Linked DNA regions of Caenorhabditis elegans. The protein of the gene in region 1 purifies or fractionates together with the protein of each later gene. This does not show direct contact. Each region holds a gene or a part of one and is shown on either strand. Other genes may lie near its edges.

What was found. Proteins that work in one complex are often made in the same cells at the same time.
Region 2: the proteins of F45H10.2 (region 1) and rps-12 fractionate together in Caenorhabditis elegans (co-fractionation; one large-scale study listed by BioGRID). This does not show direct contact.
Region 3: the proteins of F45H10.2 (region 1) and ndua-2 fractionate together in Caenorhabditis elegans (co-fractionation; one large-scale study listed by BioGRID). This does not show direct contact.

Annotation. Positions count from the first base shown.
Region 1 is NC_003280.10:13,489,251-13,497,157, forward strand, and holds F45H10.2 (Cytochrome b-c1 complex subunit 8), read right to left. Parts: upstream 3,799-7,907; 5' UTR 3,793-3,798; coding exon 3,613-3,792; intron 2,827-3,612; coding exon 2,734-2,826; 3' UTR 2,638-2,733; downstream 1-2,637. Other genes in the region: alh-7 (Succinate-semialdehyde dehydrogenase, mitochondrial), read right to left, coding at 514-1,194, 2,348-2,524; ndua-7 (NADH dehydrogenase [ubiquinone] 1 alpha subcomplex subunit 7), read right to left, coding at 4,001-4,244, 5,012-5,201, 5,271-5,343; drr-1 (MARVEL domain-containing protein), read right to left, coding at 5,866-6,012, 6,059-6,265, 6,320-6,409, 6,462-6,542.
Region 2 is NC_003281.10:5,675,797-5,683,366, forward strand, and holds rps-12 (Small ribosomal subunit protein eS12), read left to right. Parts: upstream 1-3,501; 5' UTR 3,502-3,533; coding exon 3,534-3,550; intron 3,551-3,581; exon of another isoform or gene 3,582-3,713; intron 3,714-3,779; coding exon 3,780-3,917; intron 3,918-3,948; exon of another isoform or gene 3,949-4,079; intron 4,080-4,084; coding exon 4,085-4,352; 3' UTR 4,353-4,391; downstream 4,392-7,570. Other genes in the region: par-3 (PDZ domain-containing protein), read left to right, coding at 1-106, 260-385, 438-600; F54E7.9 (N-terminal methionine N(alpha)-acetyltransferase NatE), read right to left, coding at 963-1,192, 1,819-2,092; ska-3 (Spindle and Kinetochore-Associated protein homolog), read right to left, coding at 2,266-2,471, 2,518-2,805, 2,849-3,029, 3,079-3,192; pst-2 (Adenosine 3'-phospho 5'-phosphosulfate transporter 2), read left to right, coding at 4,702-4,808, 4,914-4,986, 5,040-5,161, 5,578-5,783, 5,831-6,417; rcan-1 (Calcipressin-like protein), read right to left, coding at 6,842-6,971. UniProt on the Caenorhabditis elegans protein: Part of the small subunit (SSU) processome, first precursor of the small eukaryotic ribosomal subunit.
Region 3 is NC_003279.8:14,110,207-14,117,264, forward strand, and holds ndua-2 (NADH dehydrogenase [ubiquinone] 1 alpha subcomplex subunit 2), read left to right. Parts: upstream 1-3,429; coding exon 3,430-3,602; intron 3,603-3,646; coding exon 3,647-3,713; intron 3,714-3,758; coding exon 3,759-3,797; 3' UTR 3,798-3,879; downstream 3,880-7,058. Other genes in the region: dnj-29 (J domain-containing protein), read right to left, coding at 1-102, 597-705, 766-1,002, 2,370-2,525, 2,586-2,701, 2,762-2,885; TLC domain-containing protein fld-1, read left to right, coding at 4,001-4,063, 4,279-4,506, 4,961-5,116, 6,559-6,684, 6,733-6,821, 6,874-6,982.

The DNA of each region.
Region 1 (7,907 bases):
ATTGAAAATTCCCGACAATTTGCCGATTTGCCAGAAGTTTTCAATTCCGGCAATTTGGCGATTTGCAAGAGATATTCAATTCCGGCAATTTGCCGATATGCCGGAAAATTGAAAATTTCCGGTAATATGCCGATTTGCCAGAAATTTTCAATCCCGGCAATTTGCCTTTGCCGGAAAAAATCGTTTGCCGCCCACCCCTGGGCATTGTGCAACAAAGAGCCAATTTGGGTCTCGCCACGTTGAGGCTCAGTTACTGTATCTCACTGTATCTCAGTGTTCGCGTGGCGAGACCCAGACGTAATACTGTAACACGCCACGTGGTGTCAGGCTGTCTCACTGCGCAGTTTGATCTACAAAAATGCGGGAATTTTTTTCCCATAAAATTTATGACGTCAGCACGCTGCGAAATCAGATCAGATGTCTGCGCGTCTCGAGAAGATCTTCTCCCGCATTTTTTGTAGATCAAAGCGAAATGGGACTTTCTGACTCTGACTCCTTTTGTGTAACACTAACATTCACAGCGACATCAAGATCAGCATCATCGAAAACGATCAGCGGAGCATTTCCACCGAGCTCCAGACAAACTCTCTTCACAGTCGACGCTGACTGTGCGAGAAGCAACTTTCCAACGGGGGTACTTCCAGTGAAGCTGATCGCCGACACATCTGTAGACTCGCAAAGGTACTTGGAAATCTCGGCAGTATTCGAGTGATCTGCAGTGATCACATTGAACACGCCGGCCGGAATCCCAGCTTCTTCAGCAGTCTGAGCAAGAGCCAACGCTGAAAGCGGCGTATCTCCAGATGGCTTCACGACTGCCGAGCACCCGACAGAAAGCGCCGCCGCCGCTTTCCGAGCAATCATTGCAGTCGGGAAGTTCCATGGCGCGATGAGAGCTACAACTCCGATCGGCTCACGGGTGTGTAGATGGAGACGATTTACGACGGCCGACGGAACGACTTGTCCGTAGACACGACGAGCCTCTCCGGCGTACCAGTCGAAGTAGGCGGCCGAGTATTGGATTTCGCCGCGAGCCTCGGCCAGCGGTTTGCCTTGCTCTTTTGTGAGAAGGGTGGCTAGCTCGGTTTCACGTTGGACAAGGATTTCGAACCATTTGTGAAGAATTGCGCCTCGTTGCTTCGCTGAATAGGTGTGGGCCCATTTGTCGAAGCCTTCTAGCGCTGAGTGGACGGCCTGGAAAGTGAGAAAAATGTCGGTCATCAATTTTTGAATTTTTGAAAAATTCAGATGCGTCACCATCACGGTTTGATCTACAAAAAATGCGGGAATTTTTTGTTGCCCAAAAAATGTGACGTCAGCACGTTCTTAGCCATGCGAAATCAGTTGAGAACCGCATTTTTTGTAGATCTACGTAGATCAAGCCGAAATGAGAGACACTCTGACACCACGTGATGCCTGCATTTTTTTTTTGTAAATTTTAACGAAAAAACTGAAATTTCTCCATTTTTACGTTAATTTTTGACTGAAAAATTGGGGGTAATTTTTGTCAAAAAATCCTAAATTCGCTAAATTTTACTCCAAAAATACGGTGGCAGGAGTCTCGACACGACAATTTTTGTATTTTTGTTAAATGCGAAAAGGAGTGCGCCTTTAAAGAGTACTGTAGCTTGGGAATTTTCATCAATTTTTTTCAGTTTTATTTCAATTTTTCATAAAAATTCCAATAGTTTGGAGCTACAGTACTCTTTAAAGGCGCATCCCCCCTTTATCCTGTTGCATTTAACAAAAAATGCCGCGTCGAGACCCGCCGGTACCGTATTTTTGAGCAAAATTTTGCGAAACTAGTCATTTTTTGACTAAAATTTCCCAAATTTTCCAGAAAAAATCAATTTTTTTTTCATAAAAATTAATGAAAAAAGGCAGAAATTTCAGTTTTCCCCATTTTCCCAAAAATTGTGGTTCCAGGTCTCGACGCGACAACTTTTTGTTAAATTCGAAAGTGTGTGCGCCTTTAAAGAGTACTGTAGTTTTGAATTTTTATTTCTGCGAAACTTTTATCGATTTCTCGAAAAATCATGTTTTTTTTAGAATTTTGTTTTAATATTTTTCAATAAATAAATATATTTTCATTGAAAAACATGAAAAATCGATAAATATTCCGCAAACACGGAACTTTTAAGCTACAGTACTCTTTAAAGGCGCACACCTTTTCGCATTTAATTTTAAAAAAGTCGTTTCGAGACCCAGTAAATACCGTATTTTTGAGCAAAATCACGCATTTTTGGCTCAAATTTCCCAATTTTTCAGGAAAAAGAGGAGCATTTTTTTTGTAAAAATTAACGAAAAAATGCAGAAATTTCAGTTTTTTTCCCCCATTTTCCCCAACCTTCTCCGCATCCTTAACAGTACAATTCGTAGCTCTATCGACAACTTCATTATTAAACGGATTGAGCACATCAAACGAGTTCCCCGTCTCAGAAGCCGTCCATTTTCCGCCAATATACGCTTGAGCTCCTTGTGGGAGCAACGAGTAGCTCCGTTTGAATTGGGAAAGCCGATTCATTATTGCGCTCGGCTGAACAAAAAAAATTGGAAATTGCAATTTTTCAGTTAAAAAAAGTAAAAAAAAACATATCGGGAGGATCAATTGCCTCTTTTTTTACAAAAAAAAATCGATTTAAATTTAAAATTCACTAGAAACGACAATCAGCGACACAAAAAAATGAAGAAGGAGACTACAGAAATCGAGAGAATTAGATATCCGGCGGCTTATTATTGATCGTTGGCAAAGTCGGCTGGATTCTTTCGGTTGGCGGCGACGTTCGTCTTCTTGGCCCAGTCGTAGAGCAAGTAGGCTCCGATGGTCTGGAAAATTAGAGATTAACGGGCTTTTTCGGCCTGAAAAAGAGGTTTTGCAAGCCTTGAGAGCCCTGTCGATTTACGGAGGATTTTGTACTACACGTGGTGCAAAAGTGTGTATTTATTAGCATTTAACATTCGAAATGGGCCCGGAAAATCGAAAAAAAAAAAAACAATTTTTTGTTGAAAATAACGAAAAATTGCAATATTTTATCTAATTTTGTCAAATTTTTATAGAGAAAAACAGCTAATTTTCGTCTAAAAATAAGAAAAATGGCAGAAATTTCAAGTTTTTTTTTGTTGAAAAATTGGAAAACCGGTTTCTTTTAAAATAACAATACTAGTTTCCAGCAGATTTACACAAAAAAAGTGAGCTTTTCGCTTTATTGTGTAAATCTGCTGGAAACCAGTATTGTTATTTTGAAAAAGGGCGGTTTTTCTTATTTTTTGACGGAAAGTACCTGTTTTTCTCTATAAAAATAAAAAAAATTAGTTAAAATAATGCAATTTTTCGATTTTCCGGGCCCATTTCGAATGTTAACTGCAAAAAAACTAGCAAAAACTTCAAATCCAGGTGGAAAAAACAAATTCCAACTTGTCCACGTGTAGTACAAAACCCCTCGTAAATCGACACTCATTAAACTGTGCCGCAGGCTTGCAAGACCGGTTTTTTTGTGTGAAACGGTGCTCAAATTCACAAAATTTCTGATTTTTTTCGCTAAAAATCACGAAATTCAGCTTAAAAATCATTGAAAACCGGAATTTTTTTTCTCTCCAATTTTCCAAGGCTACCTGTGGAATGTAGTAATACCACTGATCCCAGACGTAGGTCTTGAAGGTCTTAACAAAGGCCTGATCGAAGAATCCCTTGTAGGCCTTTTGCTCGTTTGGAGCAAGCGCGAAGCGGTGCTCTCCGTACATCTTGCCGAGATTTCCAAAGTGTTTGCCCATTGAAACGACGGTCGGTCTCATTGTTGTCTGGAAGTGGAAGTATTTGGAAAATTTAATTGATAAATTAGAATAATAAAAATGGTAAAATAACAAAGAAAATCGATATTTCAAGGCTACAAAAACCAGGAAAAAGGGAAAAAATGCAGGGAAACCCCTAAAAACCGCGAGAAAAAAGCTTCATTTCTGTCACATTCTGAACCACTAAAATTAATTTACAAAAAAAAAACGCTTAGGCGCTCTTCGTGAACTTGTCGAAACGCTGCAAATACTCGAATTCGGTGTTCTTCTGCTGGCTGGCCAGCTCATTCTGCTTGGATCGGCTCCATTCGGCTCCAAAACCAGGGGTTGGAGCTGTCAATCCGAAGTTTGTGGCGACTCCTTGATTCACTTGCGCTGGCTGTGCTTTTTCTCCTCCAACAAACTCGCCAGACGAGTAGAGCACTTTCGGAGCATCGACGTTTCGGCGGCCGTCTCTGCAAAAAAAATTTGATGATTTTTTGAGAGAATTTAAATTTTTAATGGACTACTCCCTGTGGGGAAATTGCTTTAAAACATGCCTATGGGGCCACAATGACCGAATATCATGATAAAAAAATTTTAAAAATTTTTCTGGATTTTATATGATTTTTTGAAAATTGAAAAAATCTCAGTTTTCCCCCCTAATTCCTATTTGAATTTCCGCCAATTGAACTCGTTCGTTGGAGCGCGCTTGCATTATTTTCGTTAATTTTTTAAAATTTATTTTCATTATTTCACTGATTTTCTTTATTTTTTGAAGGTTTTTAATCGGAAAATGAAAGAAATAAACAAGAAAAATGCAAAATTTTTATTAAGAAGTAACTGAAAATGGCTAAAACTCTGATTAATACTAATTTCAGGCTCGTCGTCGTCGGATCGCATAATAGGCATTTTCGGCTACTTTTTAATAAGGACTGTGAATTTTCTTGCTTATTTCTTTCATTTTCCGATTAAAACCCCAAAAAAATAGAGAAAATCAGTGAAATAATGAAAATAAATTTTAAAAAATTAACGAAAATAATGCAAGCGCGCTCCAACGAACGAGTTCAATTGGCGGAAATTCAAATAGAAATTAGGGGTGAAAACTGAGAATTTTTCAATTTTCAAAAAATCATATAAAATCTAGAAAAAACTTTTAAATTTTTTTATCATGATATTCGGTCATTGTGGTACCAAAGGCGTGATTTAAAGCAATTTCCCCACAGGGTGGAATTTTTTGAACCTTGTCAAGTAATAATTATCAGCGAGCTTGTGATGAACACCTCCTGGAAGAGCCGGGAGCTCTGCGGAGCAAGGACGAGCGGATTGGGTGTTTGGGAAGCGGAGAGGGTTCTGGTAGACTGCTTTTCCGTCCGGGCCGGCGATTCCTGGTGGCGGGGTGATGGGGAGTCGGTCGGAAGCCAACAGCTTTTCTGGAAATTTCTAAATTTTCATTAATTTGTTAATATTGGAGCGCAAAAAACGGAAAAAGAAAAACTTACGCTTAAGCCAGTTCCAGAATGGCGTCTGGGTGCGATTTTGAACAGTGGCCGCCGCAATTTTGCGACCGCTCATTGTCGGTCTGGAAAATTTATATTTTTATAAACAAATTGGGAAGCTTGGCTTAGAATAAATATATATTATAAACAAAACGAGCTTTTCTCGATTTTTCCAAGAAAAAAACTGGAGAAAACTAGCAATTTAGAAGAAAAAAAACCATTTTTCTTCAAAATAGCATTTCTCAGCCAAATTTTGCTCAAATCGATTCGGATCTGGATTTTCGACTTAAAATAACTCTAATAACAAGCTTAACTGATTTTTCAACAAAATTATCCATAAAAAATCACGGAAAATCGATAAAATCTGAAAAGAAAGCGATTAAAAAGTAAATAAATAAATGACCGGTCGTCAGTTGGTGCATTTGCGCGTCACGGTGTTTGCACACAATGCATCACATTTTACGGGCAATGTGCCTATGGTAATTAATTTATATAAATAAACATGATTTTATAGTTGAAAGTCGGGCTTTTTAGAGTCAATAAAAGAATAATTTATTGTGAAAATAAGCAAAAAAGAAAAATGAATAAATCTACAAAATCACAAGTCTTGATAAGCATTAGAACGGAATGGATGTGCTGGTTCGATCACAATATTCTGACGTTCGGTATCCGAAGTTGTCTGTACCTCACGATAGATTACAGTACATGGGACAGCGTAGAAAATTGTTTGTACGATGAAGAAAACCTGAAATTAACATATATATTGCCTAAAAATCCCCCTTAAAACCCACCCCAGCAGCAATATATCCCGCAGAAGTGCCGAAAAGCGACCGATTCGCGAACGAAAACGAAAGCCAGACGGAAATCACGGAGAGGACCGCCAAAATAAAGGAATACACGAGCTCCACGACATTCCACGCGATGCTTCCATTCGAAATACTCTCCATGAGCTCATCCTGAATCCGCAGGGCGAAGATTACCGTTGCCGCCGCGGAAATCTGGAAATTCAGGGGGTTGATGGGGGTAAAAATTTAATAAAAGGATAAACTAACAATTAATTGAACAATTAGAGTAAACCAAAGAATCCCATTATCCCCGGAAGCCGTCGATCCAATGCAAACCGCCAGAATTACAGCGTTAATCTGAAAAATTGAACATGGTGCATCGGGAAATTAAAAAAATCAATAAACATACCGCTTGCAATGGCTTAAAATAGTGTGGAAGTTTGAGAAAAACGTTATCCTCATTTTCGAATATGTTTCCAAGAGTTTGCATTTTTTTTTAAATTTTGTGTTGCAAAAAAAATTCAGCGAATTCGAAATTTTATCGATTAAAACTGTAATAATACGTGCACAGTGATTCTGTCTGTTGTTGTGCTCACACACGTATCTTATCAGTAAACATTATAGTTCACATGATTTGGGGGTTATTGTGTAGTTTGTAGTGTATTATTGGTGATAGAAATACGGTTCCCGGGGTCTCGACACGACAAATTTTTGTTAGATGCGAAAAGGTGTGTGCGTCTTTAAAAAGAGTACTGTAGTTTAAAACTTTTGTTGCTGCGGACTTTTTATTGAATTTTTTTAAATTTAGGTTTTTTTTAAAGTGATATGTGATTTTTTTTTAATTTTACAGATTTTTTTCGAAGTTTTACAGATTTGTTTACAAATTTTACTGATTTTTTTTCGAAATTTTGCAGATTTTTTTTTCGAAATTTACAGATTTTTTTCGAAATTTTGCAGATTTTTTTCCAAATTTTCCAAATTTTTTTTTGGAAATTTTCCAGATTTTCTGTAAATTTTTAAGATTTTTTTTCCAAATTTTACAGATTTTTTTCCAAATTTTACAGATTTTTTCCAAATTTTACAGATTTTTTTCCTGATTTTACAGATTTTTTTCCAAATTTTACACATTTTTTTTCGAAATTTTACAGATTTTTTTTCCAAATTTTCCAAATTTTTTTTTGGAAATTTTCCAGATTTTCTGTAAATTTTTAAGATTTTTTTCCAAATTTTACAGACTTTTTTCCTGATTTTACTGATTTTTCCCAAATTTCCGGATTTTTTTGTACAATTGCAGATTTTTTTTGTAAATTTTAAATTTCTAAAAAATCGAAAAAAAAATTGGCTGAGCTAAAAAAATGTTTATTTTTTTTTGGAATTTTGAAAAAAAAAATTTCAATTTTTTGTGGTAAAAACATTTTTTCTGTTAATCTCAGTGAGCAAGAACTCATTAAAAAATTATTTGTAAAAAAATAAAATTGGCGGAAAAAAAATTTCTTTAAAAAATTTTCAAAAAAATTTTTTTTTCAGAAATTTTTTTCCAAACTTTAACCAAATTTCTCACAAAGACTGAGATTTCTGCAAAAAAGGAGGAAGAAGACGACGATAATCAACTAATTAGCGAGACGACGTCACAGTAATTTGAGTAGTTGACTGCAGAGCAGAAGCAAAACAGAGGTGGCTTAACTTATTCTCACACGTTTTTTTTCCCATCTGAAAGTGTTCATGGTGCTCCATTAGAGTGATGGCTCAGCACGTGTGTGCTCATTTCTCTTTTTCAAAATATATCCCTTTCCTTTTCAATCATCATCAACTTCCTCTTATCACTTGGCTCTCATTGAGTCAAAAATTCCCATTT
Region 2 (7,570 bases), on another chromosome or scaffold:
CTTCGGGGGAGAAGCCTACGAGACACGTGGTGGAGGAGCCGGCGGCTCGCCGAGCCAATACCGTCGCAGAGATCAGGGACCGCCTCATCGTTTTCCCCAGTACTAGGTCAGTTTTTTCTCAAAGTTATATTACGCAGCCGCGAAAAATACGGAATCCGTAAAAATAAACGGTGATGCGCCTTTAAAGAGTACTGTAGTTCCGAACTTTCATTGCTGTGCAAATTTCAATAGATTTTTTATTCATATCAATAATTTTCAGATTTCCAATAGCTGCCTCATCAATGCGTGTATCATCAGCGGCACAACCGCTTGCGAATTCTGTAAACCTACGATCTGTATCAAATAATAAAATCAACGATAATTCCGCTGAGCGAATCTCATTAAGGTACGTCCACCATTTGACTTTTCGAACAGTTTCCATATTTTTTGATTTTCAGAGCCAGAAAGAAGCTTCATCGAGAAGCAGTAACACGAAGCGAGTTCTTCTTGCCACCGTCGTATTCAAATGAGAATATCAAACTGTTCAACAGTCTCCTTCCGCCATCCACATCAAGTATCATGACAACAAAGACCCCGTCACCTACGACGCCGAAAAATTAAAGATTCTATGGCTTTATATATATATATTTAATTCCTCTATAATTCTCCTTTTCACTTCTCCCTCGATATCTATAACTCACTTCTAAAAAGCCGGTTCTTCTTATTCTAAACATTTTAGTAGGGAATTATCTCTATTTCTCTCTCCTGTTGAATTCATAGCCGTCGTCCATCTCTGTGATGTTTTCTATATTGTTTGTATTTAGTAGCCTCCCGAATCAAATCAAATCCATTTTTATTCTGTTTAACATACTTCTTGTTTTATAACGAATGTTGTTGTGAGCTTTTAGATTCAAGATTTAAAAACAAAATCAATCGAATGAATCTGGTGAATTTATGTTTCAACTTTATCTTTTTTATGTAAATTAATGGAATGGCTTTCGCATGATAAACGCATCAGGAGGACTGCATCGTTGATAGTATTGTGGAACGAGACAATCCACGTTGAAGCCGCGGTTCTTGTAGAATTCGATCGCAGTTTTGTTGGAAGTCTGCACATGGAGCATCGCGTGAGGCAATTTCAATAATTTTCCCTTTTCGTCGACGAAATCCATCAGAAATGAGCCGAGACCAGCTTCGCGGTGACGGGGATGAACTGGAAAAAATAAATTTTTGCAAATTTTGTTTTCAATTTCTAAAAATTAAAAGTTATATTTTAGAAATCAGAAAATTGTCCGCAGTTTTAGAGAAAAATGGAAAGAAAGTTCAATCTTCAATTAAAGAATTAAAATAAAGTGGGAAAACACTGTAAAAAATGTTTTTTAAATTTATTTTTGGTTTTTTCCAATTATTTCAGTAGATTTTTCAACACTTTTTTGTTTCTTTTTGAAAAATGTATCAAGAAATTTTTTTTGAGAATACGAAATAGATCTTTTTAAAGTATTGATTAATCATATTTTGAAAAATATTTTTTAGATTTTGCAAAATTTACTTTTTATCAAAATGTTACTTTTTCTACAAATTTTTGAGGTTAAAATGACACTTTTAATTAGAAAATAGCTTCGAAAAAATTTTAACTGAAAAAAATGGAAGATCTTCTAAAAAACGACTTTAGTGAAAATCAATTTAAATCTTAATTTTTTAATTTTTGATTTTTGTTTTAAAACCAGACTTTTTTCTGAACTTTGAGACCATATTTTAGAATTTTTAGAAAACTTAATTTTATAACATTTTTCTTGAATTTTAAATGAAAAAATCTTAATTTCTCAAAAATTTACAAACCTCCAAAGCTTCTTATATAAAGTACGCGTCCTGTTTCGAAATTCTCGGGCTTTACAGCAACTATGGCGATTGCCTCGCCGTTTCGTATTACAACTCCTGTTAATTCGTTATTCATACATTCTTGATAAAATTTGTCGCTGTACGACACCGGAAATATGCTTGAAACGAGGATTCGAACTGTTTTTATGTTTTCCGCAGTCACTCGTTGCAGTCGAAGTTCAAGAGAATTATCGGTTGATGGTGATGAATGTGATAAACATTCCTCTTCTTCCATTGCTGAAACTTTGTCTAAAACGTTGACTAGAACATGCGAAAATTCTAAAAATATTCACAGTTGAAAACTGGTTGGATTTTCAAATTCATTTGATTTCATTTTCAGAAAATTGTATTCATATCCACATTTGTACAGATAAATAAAATAATATTTAGTATCAAAAATTCAGAAAATCAATCCCTTGTCTGATTGAATGCTCGACCAACTGAAGATGTGAAGACGGGCGGTGCTTGTAGGGAAAATAGATCAAGAGGATTCCGTTCTGGAGCTCTGGATGGAGTTCTTTGTGGTTTTCTTGCTGGAGTTTGCAGTTCTTCATCGTCCAACTCATCAAAAGCCAGTTTTCGTCGTTCGTTGGATGTATTCACCATTGATATGTCTGAAATGGCATGTTTTTATTGCAAAGACAAACTAATTCAATTTACCATGTCCGTTTATCAAAGAATCATCAAGACTGTAGCTTTTGGTCTCCGGAATATTTTCTTTCTTTTCAGTCCTTCCTGTCATCACCAATGATGAAAATGTTGGTGGTTTCATTATGGAAGCCATTACAGAGACAAGCTCCGGTTGACGTCTCGCAGATTCACCGAGAACTGATCCTTGTTCGACTGATATTTGTGGCATTTCTGGCTTTGCAAAAACTATTTTTTCCACTTTCTCAACCACGGGATTCAGAAAATCAATGCTGCCAATCCGCAAATGCTCGTTTCGTTCTGAATTTTTCTATTTTTTCGTGAAAAAATTATTGCAACTCACCTTTAGTCTCCACAATAGCTTTATCAAACGTTGTCCCCAACTGTTTCAGTTTTCCAGCGAGCGCACATTTCTTGTTCTTCAATTGCAGCTCGAGTTTCATAATTTCTACATGATCCGCCACATAGCTCTCCATTTCCTGCGTCAGTCTCATTCGCATGTCCACATCCAATTGTGCAAGAGTCTGAAATTCATGTAAATAATTTAAATGGACTGAAAGCTCGACAACTTGCCTTGTACTGTGAGAGTGTCAGCTTTTGAAGTAATTCTGGAGATTGGTTGCATCGAACGTCTTTTAGCTTCTCCAAAAAGTAAATAAGAACATGTTCCAGCGTTTCGTTAGCCATTTGACTCCTTTATTTGCCTGAAAAATGCTAATGAATGTTTGATGAAGACTGAGAAAATACAGAAAACTGTTGAAATTCAAAGCTTCCCGCGTGCAAGTCTCCGTAAATCGACAAATGGCAAGCGCGCTCTATAGCACATTTCACTGTGCCGCGACTCAAAGACATGCTGCGGAGTGATACAGAAACATTTCATGCTTCCCTCTTTTCCGTTGATTTTCCCAATTTTTTCTTTTCTTTTTTTCTTTTTCTCAAATCTTGAAATATATTTTGTGAAAACAATATTAACGAGTCGAAATTTCTAATTTTCAGGTAAGCATCAAGGACTCTTGCTGCAAACAACAATGTCTGACGCAGGAGGGTAGGTTATTTTTGTTTTTTTCTGAAAAATCTTGCACCTACCAATTATATCGGAAGATTTTGAAGTCATAGTTTTCCTATCGTAGTGTGCAATAAAAACCGTTCTACTGCCACACGGGTACTGGCCTTGAAGCTGTATCGGTTCCAAAGTTGTTCGAACAATTAGATTCCTTGTCTTAAAAGCAAAATTAAGTTTTTATGAAGGCTATTAAAATATTGGATAATTTTAGAGATGTTCAAGTGGCCCCAGCCGCCGTCGCCCAGGGACCAATGGACAAGGAAGGAGCTTTGAGAGCTGTTCTTCGCGCTGCCCACCACGCTGATGGACTCGCCAAGGGACTCCACGAGACCTGCAAGGCTCTTGACAAGTAAGTAATTGATATTTTAGTTTGTATTTTAGTTCCACTTATTTTTCAACGTCGCCGGTTCTAGAATCGATGTGACCCCAATAAGCTGGTAGATAAGTTGTTACTCTGCCACACGTGTACTGGTATCATGCTGTATGTGTTCCAAAGATTTTACAAACAATTTTCAGGCGTGAGGCTCACTTCTGTGTCCTCGCCGAGAACTGCGACGAGCCACAATACGTCAAGCTTGTCGAGACCCTCTGCGCCGAGCACCAGATTCCACTCATTAAGGTCGCCGATAAGAAGATCATCGGAGAGTACTGCGGACTCTGCAAGTACGATAAGGAAGGAAAGGCCCGCAAGGTCGTTGGATGCTCATCCGCCGTTGTCACCAACTGGGGAAATGAGGAGCAAGGACGTGCCATCCTCACCGACTACTTTGCCTCCAAGAACTAATCTGTTCGTTGTTCCAATAAATTGTTATTGTTCCCTATTTGTTCGTCTTTAATTACAAAATGGTACACATTCACAAGTTGTTGGGATAATATTTTCGGGAGCAGAAAGTATAGGAAAGGTTCTGCAATATATCACGCCGGTGAATTTTTATTTCGGTATGAATAACGTATGCATAGAGAGACGTAGCGCAGAAACTATTGCCAACGCGCAAAAAGATCGATACCCCCTTTTCAAAAGCCGTGAACGTAGTCGCGGTTCAGGCTTTCCCCAATGGACAATCTGAACAAATGCCTATCTGATTTAGATCTCAATTTCCCTTTATTTGCGCACTTTCCACCCACTCTTTCAAATGACTGCAGCTCAAATACATTCTGATTGTAGTGTTCATATGCTGCCACGTCATGTCAAAGAGGATGTAGAACCAATTCATCTGTTAGGGTTTAATATTGCCAGAAAGTGAGTTTTAATTTTCAATTTTAAAGCGGAATTTCAAAAGCGATAAAATCGAGAATACATTATGAAATCTCGAGCCGATTTAATTTGTGAATTCATGATTTTCAGACCAAAATGGCTTCAATTTGTTCTTCTTTCTTTAGCAATATTTATTTTGTACATAGGATACGGGTATATGCAGGTGAGATTAGAAGTTTACATAAAAAAATGTTTGGAAGAAAAAAAATATTTCAGGAATTAATATTCAAACTACCTGGAATGAAACCATTTGGATGGACGTTAACACTTATTCAATTCCTGATTTATAGCGGATGTGGATATACGGAATGTATTATTTGGCATAACACGAAACGAATGTGAGTTTTCAATTATTATTCAAATTTCGCGATTTGTGCGTCAGTAAATAGGTCTCGACACGCTTTTTTGTTTAATGAAATCTGATGTGTGCCTTTAAAGAGTACTGTAACTTCAAACTTTTGTTGCTACGGATTTTTTCTCGATTTTGTTTATTAATAAAATAAATACATTTATTCAAAATTTAAAACAAAAAAATTAAACAAATTAAAAAAAGGGAAAAACTGTAAAGTCGATAAAAATTCCACAGGAACTAAGGTGCGAAAGTTTGAAACTACAGTAATCTTCAAAGGCGCACACCATTTTCCACAAAAATTGCCGTGTTGAGACCGGTTTTGATGCAACAATCGCAATATTTCGCGTATATGTAGTACAAATAGTACAAAATTCAGAATTAAAAAATATTTAATTTTTCCAGGATCCCTTGGAGAATCTACGGTGTAATTGCCTTTTTCACAGTAGCAACAATGGGACTTTCGAATGCATCCGTTGGATATTTAAATTATCCAACTCAAGTGATTTTCAAGTGCTGCAAGCTAATTCCAGTGCTCATTGGAGGGATTCTGATCCAAGGAAAACGATATGGATGGATTGATATTGGTGCGGCGATGTTAATGAGTTTAGGTGAGGATTTTGGATTTTAAAAAATTAATTAAATATTTTATTTCCAGGAATTATCATGTTCACATTGGCCGATAATAAAGTATCCCCAAATTTCGATTCTCGAGGATACATCATGATTTGTGGAGCTCTTCTGGCAGATGCTGTAATTGGAAATATTCAAGAAAAGAATATGAAGAAGTACGGTGGATCTAGTAATGAAATGGTTCTCTACTCATATGGAATTGGCTCAGTGTTCATTTTCGCATTTGTCGTGCTCTCCGGTGAAGTCTTCAGTGCAATTCCATTTTTCCTGGAGAACTCGTGGAAAACATTCGGCTACGCACTGATCCTCTCATGTCTTGGATATCTCGGTGTCAACGTTGTGCTCACTCATATCAAAGTGTTTGGAGCACTTGTTGCGGTTACTGTGACAACTCTTCGCAAGGCACTGACTATAATTCTGTCGTTCATGCTCTTCTCGAAGCCGTTCACCATCGAATATGTTTATGCGGGATCTGTGGTGATGCTGGCAATTTATTTGAATTTGTACAGCAAGAACAAGACGTCTTGGGATAATATGATAAGAAGATTCGTGGCGAGAGCAATGGGATATCATGATGTATCTGTTGCTAGGAAGGATCCAATGACGGTTTAGAACTTAAATATTAACGAATAACTTTTTATCAGGGCTCGGGTATATTATACTTGCTTTTTCCTTCTTTTCATGTGATATTGTCAGTTCTTTTAAATACAAATAATTTATTTGCATTATTTTCTTTTTTTTTCATTTTGAAGATTCATTCCATAAAAAGGAATATATAGTAAGTATTGGGTGGTAAACAATTTTTGGGATATATTTACAAAAACAAAATATCAGCAAAAATAAGTGGATTGTTGGATTAGGAAGAGACACGTCTACCCGCGGCAGAATAAGCTCTGCGGATTGAAGTTGAAACAAGGAAAAAATGAAAAAATTGGAGAAGAAGGAGTGCAACACAAATAGAATGAGGATGATTGTAAAGCTGGAAGAGAAAAATGAATAACAAGAAGAATGAGAAGGAAAGGGATATCCAAGATAATTACTGTTCACATGGAGATGAAGGGCGTGGAGTTCGTGGCATTTCAATTGCTGATGGTACGTCAATTGGGGTCTCGCATGGATGAACAATGATTGCTGGTGTCAGCTCGTCTCCATTGTGTACTTCATATCTGAATTTTGGATTTGAAAAAAATTGATTAAAATATTTCAATATTTAGTTTATTGTACTTTCGCGAAATTCTGGCACTTCAGTTTAAAGGCACACGCTTCTTCTGAGTGGGTCTCGCCAAGATCTACGTCATAGTGGTTGCTTCAGATGTCAAACTTTACAGAGATATGAATAATAATAAAAAAATTGAGCATGTAGCAACTATTACAAGAACATATAATTTTGGGAATGCGTTTTGCACAACTATTCAAAATATCTCGTAGCGAAAACTACAGTAATTCTTTAAATGACTACTATAGTGCTTGTGTCGATTTACTGGCTCGATTTTAAAACTAACTAAAATCATTGATTTAATGAAAGAATATTAAAATTGAGCAAAATAAGAATACGACGTTATTATACGACACACTATTCGAAAAGGAATTAATTTCAAAAATCGAGCTCGTAAATCGACACAAGTGCTACAGTAGTCATTTAAAAAAAAATACTGTAGTTTTCGCTACGAGATATTTTGCATATGTTGCGCAAAACGCATTCTCAAAATGTGGTGTTCCCGTAATAAGCGCTGTGTGATACAAAGTAGAAACAGTATTCCAGGCT
Region 3 (7,058 bases), on another chromosome or scaffold:
TCATGAGCCTCGGAACCTCATAATCATCAGTTTCTCGTTCCTGAATCTCCTTATTGTACTGTTTGCTGAATTCGAAGGATCCAGAGAGCACGGCGATCATTCCTAAAATTAAAAATAATTGATTTTCAGGGTGAAAATGTATTTAAAACTTGGCAAAAATGCTGAAAAACCGAATTTTTAGCTTTGAGATTAATAAATTTCCAGAAAATTTGGATTTTCCAGCACAAAATTGCGATTTTCTGTTGAAATTAGTGGTTTTTTTTTTGTAATAAATTTGAATTTTTTTTTCGTGGAAAACCAGGACTTTTGTAAAAATCGTCAAAATTTGAGTTTTTTGCCCAAAAAAATTGCCAAAAATCTGATTTTCTGGGTGAAAACCAGTCAAAACTCAAGTTTCCTGCATGAAAATTGGCAAAAATCCGAATTTCTTAGCGGAAAATCGTCGAAAACTTTCAAAATTCCATTATTGTATGGAAAATTGCCTAAAAATCAATTTTCAGGATGAAAAATTGCCAAAAATCCGACTTTCTGGGTGAAAAATCGCCAAAAAAGCAATTTTCTGGCTGAAAATTTGTGGAAAAATCGATTTTCCTCACTTCCAATCTCCATTCTCGGTGTCCGATTGATGAAATAATAGTACATTCGTGTGGTGTCCAGAAGAACCTTGTCAGCGCTGTATTTGATCGAGCTATACCACCACATTCCCTGAAAAATCGATTTTTCGCGAAAATTTCCAATTTCCGCCATTTCCAGCGCCAAACTCACAACAGAAACGGGCAAAATGATCATAAAAATGAGCCCATAGAAAGCGAGCACCCAGAGTCCGTATTCTTTGCTCACAAGCCATTTGGGCAGAGCAATTCCGAAAGTTGTGGCAGTTGGGCCGTCTGGATTTCCGTATTTTTCCCAGTTTTCGCGAGCTTCTTTATCGGTGAGAGCCTGGTGAGCCTTGGCGATTTTATCGAAGAATTGAGCGTCTCCTCCACGATCCGGATGGTGAATCTGCAAAAAATTGGGTAAAAATTCCAGATTTTTGAGCATTTTTGTGGGGAAAAAACTGAAATTTCAGAAATTTTAAGGCGAAAACAGGGCAAAAATCATGTTTTCCCGAGAAAAACTGTCTGAAATTCAATAAAAGTGCCCGAAAATTCAGTTTTTGGGTGAAAATTGCAATAAAATTTGGGAAACAGTGGGCTTTTCCAGTAAAAATAGCCAAATTTTCAGTTTTTTGGCGAAAAATTATGATTTTTATGGTACTTTCCACAAAAAATTCCTTATTTTACGGCGATTTCGCACAAAAATTTGTTGAGGCTCACACTACAAACTACAAAAACTATCAGCCTCACCAAAAATTACTGAAATTTCAGAAATTTTAAGGCGAAAACAGGACAAAATTCATGTTTTCTCGAGAAAAACTGTCGGAAATTCAATAAAAGTGCCCGAAAATTTAGTTTTTGGGTGAAAAAATGCAATAAAATTTGGGAAACAGTGGGCTTTTCCAGTAAAAATAGCCAAATTTTCAGTTTTCTGGGCGAAAAATTATGATTTTTATGGTATTTTCCACAAAAAAATTCCCTATTTTACAGAGATTTCGCACAAAAATTGGTTGAGGTTCACGCTACAAACTACAAAAAGTGATTAGCCTCAACCAAAAATGCATGATTATTGGTTGAGGCTCACACTACAAACTACAAAAATCTCCAGCCTCACCAAAAATTAATGCAAATTTTTAGCCTAAAATTCCTGGAAACTGCAATTTTGGAGGCAAAAAAAGTCAAAAAAATCGATTTTCAAGCCGAAAAAGGTCGAAAATAAGCTTTTTTTTCGAGAAAATATCTAATGGAGTGAAATTTCAAGATTTTGAGGCTTTTCTGTGGGAAAAAATAAATTTTCAACAATTTTAGCGAAAAAATTGGTTTTCAGCGGAAAAAAAAACCAAAAATATAGATCTTGACGCAAAACCGACCGAAAATTGCAAAAAATTTAGTTTTAGAGTAAAAATTGCAATAAATTATGAAAAAATTGGGTTTCTCCAGTAAAAATAGCCTAAATATTAGATTTATTGGCGAGAAAGTGTTTGAAAATCAGGTTTTTGCAAAAATATTTCGATTTTCGAGGCATTTTCCACGAAAAAATCCATATTTTACGGAGATTTCGCACAAAAATTGGTTGAGGCTAACACTACAAACTACAAAATTCGCGAGCCTCAACCAAAAATTAAAACAATTTTTTCATCTAAAATACTTGGAAACTGCATTTTTCGAGGTAAAAAACAGTAAAAAGTTCGATTTTCTTCGATTTTCAAGCTGAAAAATGTCGAAAATAGGGGTTTCTCAGTAAAAAATCGCCGAAATTCCAATTTCCAGCACCTTTGACATATCTCTCCAGGCCTTTTTGATGGCCTTCTCGTCGGCGCCCTGATCCAGACCCAAAATCTGATACGGGTCATAGTCCTTGTGAGTTTGCTCGATTTCAGTCGTTTTTTTCACAATTATCGCGAAAATTGCCCACGCTACAACGAGAACCTGCAATTTTTTGGGATTTTTAGTGGATTTTTTCCGGATTTTTCAGTTTTAAAGCCTTACAACGATGGTAATAATCTTTTTAGTCCGTCGCCACGGCTTATTCGCCGCTTTTTGTCGTCTTTTCTTGTCACAACCGTCGCATTGGCACTCGTGTTCGTTGATCACGTGTTCTGGTTCTAAAAATACGAAAAAATACGAAAAAATTATGAATTTTAAGCCAAAAAATCGATTTTTACCTGGTTTCGAGGCTCCTGGAAGGCATAGGTAGGTCGCCGGGAACAGAATAATCGCGTAGAATGCCACGAGCACATAGTAAAATGTGTTGCCGACTTCGTCGTACTCAAACGACGCGCGGCCCATTTTTTAGCGATTAATTACTGTAAAAATAGTGATTTTTTGAGTTTATCAAGTGGTTTTTCGTTTGAAAATATCGAAAATAACGTTGAAAAACTGAAAAAATGTGCGATGACGTGACACTTCGATTTGCAGTGTCTTCCGCAAAACTGTGCGGCGGTGTTGCAAAATTGCGTGCGCCACTTGCAAAAAGGGGCGGAGTCATTGGTTTTTGATGATTTTAATGGGTTTTTCGTGATTTTTAACTCAAAAAATTGAGAAAAAACTTGTTTTAGCACTAAAATTTGATAGATTTAGCAAAATTTAGGCAAATTTCCTAAAATATCAGCAATTTTCAAAGACTTTGCTCAAAAAACATGAAAACAGCAAAACTGTGCGTAGGAGTTGCAAAATACCGCGCGCCGCGCTTGCCAAAGTGGGCGGGATCACGGGTTATTTATTTTTATAATAAATTTCGAAAAAAATAATCGGTTTTTGTTGGTTTTATTGGATTTTTCTGCATTTTTTAAAGTTTTTTTTTGATTTTAAAGCTTAAAATATCGATTTTCAGATGTCTGTCCGTCTTGCCGGCACCGCTCTTCGCGAGATTCGCATCCACGTCTGCCAGAAAAGTCCAGCATCGGCGGGAGTCCGCGCGTTCATCGAAAACGACTATGTTGGAATCAAAAAAGCCAATCCACAGTTCCCAATTCTGATTCGTGAGGCGTCTGGCATCGTGCCAAGGTGGGAAATTATCGATTTTTGGGTGAAATTGCGGTTTTTTGCAGAGTTTTCGCCAGATACGAGCACGGAGTTGAGCGAGTCGCCACTTTGGAGGATTTGTCGAGAGAAAATGTAGGATTTTTGGTGGAATTTAATGCCGAAAATCGATATTTTCAGGTCAAATCTACTATTACTCAATTGGCGTCCCAGAAATAACCTGGCGAAGAGTTTAGAGTCGAAAAAAAATTCTAATTTTTTAATTTTTCCTGTAGAAATTCATTGAATAAATCGTTTTTATAGCTTTTTTAAGCGAATTTTTTTGAATTTTCCGGGTATTTTCACCCAAAAACCTACTGTTTTACCTATTTTTCCGTAATATTTCCAATTTTTATCAGTTTTTTTTCAGACAGTTCTGGAAAATGCGGCAGCTGGCGGAGCTGTTGACGGATCTTCTTGGCCCAGTGCCAACAATGTTTTTATGGGTAAGAAATTCGAAATTTCAAATAATTTCAAATAAAACTCAAAAAAAAATTAATTTTTTAAATAATTTTTCGTGAAAAATTAATTATTATTTATTTCTAATTTTCCAATGAAATCAACAACGATTTCTTCGATTATTTTTGTGAGTTTTCACTCAAAAAATGCCAAAAACCCCCGATTTTCTGCGAATTTAGGCCCAAAAATCCATTTTCTCCAGGTAATCGTCTCATTTGCCTTCTTCCGAGCCCTGCAATTCATCGTTCGTTGGTACTTATTTGGCAAATGGACGTGGCCGAACTTTAACTTTTTCGACATCCGAAACCGCATTCGGAGGAGACGGAGAGGCGGTCAAGAAGCTGAAAATACTGAAAATCCGCCTGAAAATGAGGCAGAAGCCGGCGAGCAGGTCGAACAGGAGCCCGAGCCCGACAGCAGAGATCTGTCGGTGAGAATTCAGAAATTTACTGCAAAAAAAATCCAAAAACTAGGAAGTTTGAGCTAAAAAAGCAGTTTTTTTTTTCGAAATTTGAGCATTTTTTGTTGAAAAATATCGATTTTACAGCATTTTAAGCAGTTTTTCATCAAAAAAAAAGTTGGTTGAGGCTACACAAATTTGTAGTTTTTAGTCTTAGCCTCAACCAATCAGCTTTTGCTTCAAAACGCCGAAAATTGTTGAAATTTCTATCAAAATCGCTTATTTCTAGAGTTTCTACTACAAGTTTCAATAAAAACTTTACAAAAACGTTGAAATTCTTTCCCAAAACTCCTGAAAAGTGCTCAAAACTTGGTTGAGGCTACACAAACTTGTAGTTTGTAGTCTGAGCCTCAACCAAATCAGCAAATCAGCCAGAAAATATAAATTTTTCCGAATTTTTACCTAAAAACTCCACATTTTCCAGGCTATCCCACCGAATAAGAAATGGCGAATCTCCAACGAATGTGTCTCACTATTCCACTCGGTTATATCAGGATTATGGGCCGCCTACGCACTTTTATACTATAAACAGCTCGTTCAGGACCTCGTTAATTATCGATGTGACGTTGCAATCAATTTGGTTAGATTTTAGCGAGAAAATTCGGAAAAAATGACTAAAAAACTCGAATTTCGAATAAAAAAAACCAAAAAAATTGGTTGAGGCTACACAAACTTGTAGTTTGTAGTCTATAGCCTCACTCAATGAAATCAATCAATTTTCCCCACAAATAATGCAATTTAGTGCTAAAAATTGGCAATTTTTCAACTTTTCTCAACCAATTTGTGAGTTCTGTCCATATTTTGAGGAAAAAAAATCAAAAAATGTCGATTTTGTAACAAAAAAGCACGGAAAACGTTGGTTGAGGCTGAACCGAATTTGTAGTTTGTAGTCCCATCGCTTCAACCATCATTGAGTCACGAAGAGACTACAAAATACAAAAGTTGAACGTTTTTGCTCAAAATGTTGCGATTTTCATCGAATTTTGTTCGTTTTTCTGCAATTTTCGCCGATTTTTTTGTGAGAAATTGCCAAAAATTTCGAATTTTCAAGAAAGTTCCGAGTGAATTAGTGAAAAAAAATTTGTTGAGGCTCTCAAGTTTTTATAGTTTGTAGTCTATAGCCTCACTCGACGAAAAAATCAAATTTTCTTCACAAATAATGCAGTTTTGTGCTGAAAATAGTGTATTTTTCACATTTCCTGCCTATTTTTTAAGAAAAAATGATTTAAAAATTCAAAAAATCTCGATTTTCTACCAAAAAAGCATTGAAAACGTTGGTTGAGGCTCTCAATTTTTTGTAGTTTGTAGTCTTAGCCTCACTCAACGAAAAAATACAATTTTCCCCACAAATGATGCAATTTAATGCCAAAAAGTGTCCCTTTTTCAACTTTTCTCAACCAATTTGTGAGTTCTGTCCATTTTTTGTGAAAAAAATAACGATTTTTTGATAAAAAGGCATTAAAAACGTTGGTTGAGGCTGAGATACTTGTAGTTTGTAGTCTATAGCCTCACTCAACCAAAAAATCCAATTTTCCCCACAAATAATGCAGTTTTGTGCTGAAAATAGTGTATTTTTCACATTTCCTGCCTATTTTTACAAGAAAAAATTGTTAAAAAATTCAAAAAATCTCGATTCTCTACCAAAAAAGCATTAAAAACGTTGGTTGAGGCTGAGATACTTGTAGTTTGTAGTCTATAGCCTCACTCAACCAAAAAATCCAATTTTCCCCACAAATAATGCAGTTTTGTGCTGAAAATAGTGTATTTTTCACATTTCCTGCCTATTTTTACAAGAAAAAATTGTTAAAAAATTCAAAAAATCTCGATTCTCTACCAAAAAAGCATTAAAAACGTTGGTTGAGGCTCTCAATTTTTTGTAGTTTGTAGTCTATAGCCTCACTCAACCAAAAAATTTTCACGTTTTTTTTTCGATTTTTTCTACAAATTTCGAAATTTTTCCATTTTTTCAAGCTTCTCGCTTGTAGTTTGTAGTCCAAGCCCAACTGAATTCAAAATTTTCAGGTTCTAATGTCTGCGGGATACCTTTTCCACGATCTCGTCGATCTTCTGGTCAATGAGCAATCCGCCAGAATTATCGAGCTTCTTTTCCATCATGTTGTCGTTCTTTCCGCGTTCGCCGTCACAATGGTGAGGGTTTTCTGCTGAAATCCCCCAAAAAACCCAATTTTTTTGCAGTTTTTCAACCGATTCCTCGGCGTCGTTGTGTTCGGATTGCTCATGGAGCTCAACTCGATTTTCCTGCACTCGAGGAGCTTGTTGAACTTGTAATTTCAGCGATTTTTCCGTGATTTTCAGCCAAATCACCTATTTTTCCAGGTACGGAGTCGACAAGAAGAGCCCATCGTTCCGTATAATCGCTCTGCTCAATATGGTGACACTTTTCGCGTTCCGTCTCTGCGTTTCTGCGTATTTAGTCTATTTTGTGGTGAGATTTTGTGCATTTTTCAGTGGAAAAATCGAGTTTTCGATGATTTTTTCACTAAAAACACGGCAAAATTTGC